Linked DNA regions of Oryctolagus cuniculus. The protein of the gene in region 2 interacts with the protein of the main gene of each other region in a pairwise test. Links are inferred from orthologs where the notes say so. Each region holds a gene or a part of one and is shown on either strand. Other genes may lie near its edges.

Evidence for each region.
Region 1: the proteins of RELA (region 2) and NFKBIE interact in binary tests that used the Homo sapiens proteins (3 or more experiments, as listed by UniProt). The link is inferred for Oryctolagus cuniculus from reciprocal best matches to the Homo sapiens genes RELA and NFKBIE.

Annotation. Positions count from the first base shown.
Region 1 is NC_091436.1:125,868,227-125,872,483, reverse strand, and holds the start of NFKBIE (NF-kappa-B inhibitor epsilon), read right to left. Parts: upstream 2,801-4,257; 5' UTR 2,584-2,800; coding exon 2,210-2,583; intron 177-2,209; coding exon 74-176; intron 1-73. UniProt on the Homo sapiens protein: Sequesters NF-kappa-B transcription factor complexes in the cytoplasm, thereby inhibiting their activity. Sequestered complexes include NFKB1-RELA (p50-p65) and NFKB1-REL (p50-c-Rel) complexes.
Region 2 is NC_091432.1:6,042,636-6,045,076, reverse strand, and holds part of RELA (transcription factor p65), read right to left. Parts: intron 2,419-2,441; coding exon 2,314-2,418; intron 2,196-2,313; coding exon 1,983-2,195; intron 105-1,982; coding exon 24-104; intron 1-23. UniProt on the Homo sapiens protein: NF-kappa-B is a pleiotropic transcription factor present in almost all cell types and is the endpoint of a series of signal transduction events that are initiated by a vast array of stimuli related to many biological processes such as inflammation, immunity, differentiation, cell growth, tumorigenesis and apoptosis.

The DNA.
Region 1 (4,257 bases), on a different chromosome or scaffold from region 2:
TGGCACTGGGTTACCCGCGCGAGCGGCCAGGGCAGACGTGGGCACCTGAGCACTGGCCCTCCTCCCCACCCACCTGGTAAAGGTTGTTCTGAATGTCCAGGACCTCCTGTGGCAGCAGAGCCAGGCAGCACAGCAGCATGGCGGGGGCTTCGTGGATCACTGCCAGGTGTACCAGCCTGGAGGAGCAGCGCAGGGCTCAGGGTCAGGGCCCGGGCCGGGGCCGGGGCCGGGGGTGGGGTCTGGGAACTCGGTACAGAAGGCACACAGCAGCCTCTAACTAGCTACCCACGGGGTAGGTGCAGGAAGTGAGACTTTGAGCCAGGAAGTGAGGGTTGGTGTGGAAAGCCAGAATCCCGTGGGTGGGAGCTCCAAGTTCCCATCCCTGGCCTTCAGGAAGGCTTTGGCTGGGTGGGCACGTGGGCAGGGTGCTGACGGCACAAGGGCCTTCCTGTCCGGCCTGCCCACACCCCACTCTCCTCTGCCCCCGGGGCCCTGCCCGGCCAGCTGCTGCTCCGGGGCAAACTGAAAGCGGCCGGCCTGGTGAAGAGGGGGTTTTCCACAGCCCAGGGCCCCACCTCCTCTCCCCAACAGGGAGGCCAGTGGGAGGCCGATGCGGGGTCCCACCCTGGCCTCTGGGTGTCACAGAGTCCCAGGGGAGGCAGCCAGCCCTGCTCCCACAGCACTGCCCAGAGACCCACCCCTGTGGTGTGCACCACCAAGGGGAGGGCTGGGCAGTGCACAAAGTGTGTGGCAGGGGCAGGCAGGCGGGGGCCCAGAGCTTCTGCCCTGGGGTGAGGGGGGCGGCTGCAGGGGAAGTTCCAGTCCTGGGGTTTCCCCACATCAGGTGGGGAAAATGAAAGCGGAGCTGGAGGGTCTCAGCCAGGACAGCTGCCTCAGGCACGAGCCAGGGGAGTAGCTGCCTGGGCTGGGGAGGGGGCTGCTCAGGCAGGAGGGGCCGGGCTTTGGCCCAGGACAGAGTGAGAGGGAGGCAGCAACGGCTCTGGAAATCCCCTCGGCCAGGGCCTGCCCTCTGGGTCACATTCCTGCAGCCACCTCCCTTCTTCCCTGCAGCTCCCCGCCCCCTGCCCCCTCCCACTTCCTTTTCCCACTTCCACACCTCCTGCGGCCCAGACACCTCCAAGGCAGGCAAGGGCCCCTCCTCTTCTTTGGTGGCCGCGCTGGGGAATCCTGACACTTGTCCCTCGGCTGGACCCAGCACCTGGCGCTAGCCAGAGCTGGTAGAAAGGGTGGCGTTAGGCAGTGTCAGAAGGCTCCACTCCCTGGACCGAAGGTCAGCATGGAGCCACCAGCACCTTGGGGTGCTGGGCCTGGGGGCTGCTGATCCAGGCTCAGAGTCCCAAGAGGCCTGTGGTGATCTCTGTGAGTGTTCAGAAGTGCATCTCAAGGAGGCGAGACGGGACAGGAAGCTCCTGCCTCCCCTGCCCGTGCATCTCCGATCTGGACTCCAGCCCTCCCCTACTCCCCTCCCCAGTTTTGGAGTTCAAAATCCCGGCCACTCCCTCTTGTTGCTGGTTTTCTTCTTCCTGGGGGCCAAGATCTTAACTGGCTTGTCCATCCCACCCTACAGCTGCTTCTAGTTCAACTGCCCCCTGTCCGAGTCCCCGCCAAATTCCACCTGGGCCCCGGGGAAGGGTAAAATGAGGGCGGAGCACAGCACACAGAGGGGGCTGGGGGGCTCAGGAGATGGAGGCTGAGAGGGAGTCTGGCTGGCTCCAGCCCTCACTTCCCCTTCGCCAACAGACAAGGAAGTAGGCCCGGGGCATCCAGCTGCCTGTGAGTCTGCTGGGGCCAGTGCCCCAGGCTAGCTCGTCCCCTCCTCCTTAGGGCCAGCCCCAACCCTAGCACCTAGCTTTCCCGGCCCTGACAGCAACCTGTAACTGGCACCTCTTGTTCCTTGAGACAGGGCATTCTGAGGTCAGGAGCAAACAAGGATGCCCCCTCCCCCAGCAAGAAAACAAAGCTGGACTGGTCAGGGGAATTCTCTCTTCCCAAGAGTGGGTTAGTGGTGATTTCCAAATGCTGGCCGCCTAGGTGAGGGCGTGCCAGCGCTGCCCATCCCCTGCCAGGGGGCCGAGTTAGGTGTGGAGTGAGTTAGGAGCTAGGTGTGGACAGTGGGGCTGTCCCTCCCAGGGCGGGTGCCTGCAGGGTCCCCCCCCCCCCCAGGTGCAAGCCTAGCTCCCCCACTCACGTGTCTCCGTCTTCTGAGATGTAAGTGAGCGCTTCCAGCTGCTGAGGGCTCAGCGGCCCCGCGCGGGGCAGCGGCGAGCCTGGGGCCAGGGCCTCGGCCTCGGCTTCTGGGCCCCCCAGCAAGGACAGGGACTCCGTGAGCGAGGAGGAACCATAGGTGGAGTCAGCCCGCTCCCCGTCGGCGTCTTCCTTCTCCTGTGGCACCTTGGTGGTCCCCCGAGGATGGGTCCAGGGCTGGCGTCCGCCGCCGTCCGAGGGCGCAGCGGCTGAGGTCGGCGTGGGCTCGGGCAGGGAGCGCAGCGACCGCAGAGACTCTATGCCCGAGTCACACTGGCCCTCGTCCGCCTCGTCCGGCTCCTTGCGCGCCTCCGACATGCCCGCGGCGCCGGCCCGCGGGGCCCGGTGCGCGCAGGAGCTGGTGCCGACCCCGCCGCGCCGCCTTTCCGGGTCGCCGGTCCGCCTGGCAGAGCGCGCGCCCGGCCGCAGCGGCCTCGCTCCCGAGCCGCCGGAGTCCGAGGGGTCCGCGAGCGCCGGCGGGGTCCGCCGCAGCGGGTACCCTGGACAGCTGGACCGCCCAATCGGGTCCTCCCCGGGCCCCGCCCCTCGGGCCAACGAGGGAGCCGCGCGCCCGCCCCGCCCCCGACGGGCGCTTCCGGGCCGAGGCCCCGCCCCTCCGGAATCCCCCTTTCCGCGCGGCGTGCGTAGGTTCGGGGTCTGTGGTTAGCTGGTCCTGACTCACTGCTCCGGGGACGAATTCGGCCGGCCGGGCGGCCGTGTGTCCGTGCGTCCGTCCGTCCGTCCACTCCTTTTTCCTTCTCCATTCTGCGCCTTCATTGCATCCATTCATTCTGTCCTAAACTTCTGTGCCTTGATCCGCTGGTTTGATTTAGGGGGATGTTTCTTGGTCGTCTCCACGGGCTGGGCTGCTGCTGGTGGGGTGGGTACGCGGCTGGTGGGATGGGCTGGCGTGGCTTCCTCCCGTTTCTCTCCATTTCCCTTGCTTTCTCATCTTTCCTTATTAGGACCCAGGAGTCTGGGACGGGAGGGGGAGAGGGCACCTGTTATCCTAACGGAAAGGGGTGGGAGGGGCAGTTTTTCCTTGGGGTCCCTGTGTCGGTTCCCCAGGTCACGTGGATCGGGCATGGCGAAGTGCTTTTGCAGAGTGAGCTTTCGCAGGCCGACTCTTGTCTGAGCAGCACAGCGGGGCAGGGGGTTTCTGGCCTCAGGCGGTTACAGCGTCTGGTTACCCCTCGCGGTCAGGGACGTTTAGTTCCTCGTGGTGGGGCCAGGATGGGGAGGCCCCAGACATGCCGGGCTGCACTCTGCTGAGGTCTCCACCCCGCCCCAATCCCAGCCCCCACGACATCTGCGCTCCTTCCCTGTCCCTGCTTTCCCAGGCCGGGGCGCCACCCACAGGTGAGCCCCAAACAGGTGCCCCATGATTTACTCCTTTGTTGCTTCTTCCTGCTCCCAGTGCACTGCCAGCCTAGGGCCAGCGATGCCCGTAGGGTCTCATCACGGACAGGTCCACCACTCTCCATCTCTGGCAGTGGGGAAGCAAGCTGGGGTGGGTGTCGTGGGCACTTGTCCACTCAGCCACGGGACAGCCATGGACAGAGTTTCTGCGTGGCTGGAGGTGGAACCAACTGTCACAGCAATGACCAAGGACCTTCACGCCCATCTGCAAAACACCTCCCACCCCCTCCCTGTCCTCACAAAGCCCCCCTGGCAATTCCAACAGAGGGTGGCTGTGCTAAGACCACAGTGAGAACAGCTGTTGTGGGGACACAGAGTGGGGCCAAGCCACCCACTGGAGTGAGGGGCTGGGAAGCTTCCCTGGGAACAGAAATGGGAAGGGAAGTGGTGGGGGCAGGGTGGGGGGGGTAGAGGCTTCCCCAGAGTTTTGCATCCCCTGGAGGACCGGAGTGGGAGGATGTGTCAGCATGAGACAGCCAGGAGCCCCGGATGGGGAGAAAGCCCCAGGAAGCCATGTCCCTCCCTCCCTTGGGGTCACTGATTTCAGATGTCCTCAGCCTCCTTCCCTGACGT
Region 2 (2,441 bases):
TGCCCCTCCGCCCGCCGCCTCACCGCTGAAAGGGCTCTTCTTCATGATGCTCTTGAAGGTCTCGTAGGTCCTCTTGCGTTTCTCCTCGATGCGGTGCCGGTCGTCTGGGAGAACGAGAAGTGGGTCCCCTCCCCTGGGTGGGGGAGGGGCCAGGCCTCCCGGAGACCCGCCCCCCAGGCCCCCCAGCAGGAGCCTCCCTCAAGAGCCCATGCGGCCCCCTGAAGCCACGGGCAGCTCTCCTTCCCACTCGGCTGCTGCCCGGCCCGGCCCCGCCTCCGCCCTGCCCGAGAACCGCTGTGGCCCTCCCTGCTTCTTCCGCAGCTCTCGGGTCTCTGATCCCACAGACCGGCCGGAGCCAGCCTCATCTTCCTCAAAGCCTGGATCCCGGTGCCGGAAGATCACTCGCTCTCTGCCTTTCTAAATGTGTTTTTTTTTTTTTTTTTTTGACAGGCAGAGTGGACAGTGAGAGAGACAGAGAGAAAGGTCTTCCTTTGCCATTGGTTCACCCTCCAATGGCCGCCGCGGCCGGCGCACCACACGGATCCGATGGCAGGAGCCAGGTGCTTCTCCTGGTCTCCCATGGGGTGCAGGGCCCAAGCACCTGGGCCATCCTCCACTGCACTCCCTGGCCACAGCAGAGAGCTGGCCTGGAAGAGGGGCAACCAGGACAGAATCCGGCGCCCCGACCGGGACTAGAACCCGGTGTGCCGGCGCCGCAGGCGGAGGATTAGCCTAGTGAGCCATGGTGCCGGCCATCGCTCTCTGCCTTTCAAGTAAATGAAGGCAAAGCAGGTGCCCCACAGCCCGCGCCTCCTGCGCGCCCACTGCACTGCAGCTGAAGCCGGGACCCAGCCTCGCTCCCACTCCCCGCCCCCGCGGTGCCCTCCGGGCACCCGAGCCGTCTGTGCCAGGCCCCTCTGGCCCAGGGCCTGAGTGAGCACACGGGGGCCTGAGTGAGCACACGGGGGCCTGAGTGAGCACACGGGGCCTGAGTGAGCACACGGGGGCCTGAGTGAGCACACCGGGGCCTGCTTGCCAAGAGGTGACACAGCGACGGGAACGCAGACAGACCCCAAGCTTCCGGCCCGGAACGCCGAGGGTCAAGGAAGCGTGGCCACCGCCCCGGAAGCTGGGTGGGGGGTCTGATTTAGGGGACCTGGCAAAGCGCGCCGAGCGGACCGGCAGGTGCCGCGGCCTGGCCTAGCCGTTCCTCCCGCAAGGGGCTGAGCCTCTCCCTGGACTCCGGCACCTTCTTCCAAAGGCCACCCCGCCCGAGTCTCCCCTTCACCCCTGCACGTGGCTCCCCACTGCCATACGACAGAAGCCCGGACAAAGGCCTGCAGCCTAGCGAGACCCTCCCGCCTGGGCCTGCTCCCTGCCTGCCAGCGGCTCCCACTACACAGCTGCCCGCCAGGCTGTGCACCTGCCCTCGCCCTGCCTGCAGACGGCACAGCTGCGCCCCTCTCCACGGTGAACGCCACCTCGCGCCCGCTGGAGGGCTCCAGCTGCCACCTCCGCCTCGCGTGTCGCCCTGTGACGCCAGGACCTCGTCCACATGTGTCTTCCTCACGTGACAGGGCAGGGCACGCGGCGCACTCATCTCTGTCCACACAGGGGGCTCAGGCCCCGGGCTCAGGCGGCACCGGAGACCAGAGCACACGGCGGCCGGGTAGCACGGTGCCGGCTGCCGCTGGCCGGCCCTGCAGCTGCGGCCGGCGCGATGCTGCCTCCTCCCCAGGAGCTCTGCCAGACGAGGATGAGGGCAGTGCTGCGATGCGTGCCGGCTGCTCCTCGGGCTCAGGGAGACTTGGGGACTCTGACTCCTGTCACGCGGCCCCTCGCAGCAGGACGTCAGCTGACGCAGCCGCGCCCTCACCACGCACACGCCGTCCAGCCCCGAGACTGCTCTACGCAGACCCCGAGCTCGGCCCCTAGGTTTTCCGGCCTCGCTGGACGGGCCTGCTCCCACCGCAGCTGTGTACCTGTGTCGGGCAGGTACTGGAACTCCATGGGCTCGCTGAGCTCGCGGTCCGAGGGCCTCCGCAGCTGCATGGAGACGCGCACGGGCGCCTGCAGGCCGGGGTCCGCGTAGGGCGGGGTCCGGAACACGATGGCCACTTGTCGGTGCACGTCCGCTTGTGAAAAGGAGCCTCGGGCCTCCCAGCCCGGTCCCGTGAAGTACACCTCGATGTCCTCTGCGAGACGGGGGAGGGGTGGGGGTCAGCTGTCCGGGGCCCAGCGCACCGCGGTCCACTGGCTGCAGCCCTGCCCCTCCCCGCCCGGCGAGGCCGGCCCTGCCTGCCTCCTGTGTACCTTTCTGCACCTTGTCGCACAGCAGGAAGATCTCGTCCCCGCCCAGGCAGCTCCCCGAGTTGCGGTTCACCCGGCAGATCTTGAGCTCGGCAGTGTTGGGGGCGCCTGAGGTGTGAGGGTGAGGAAGG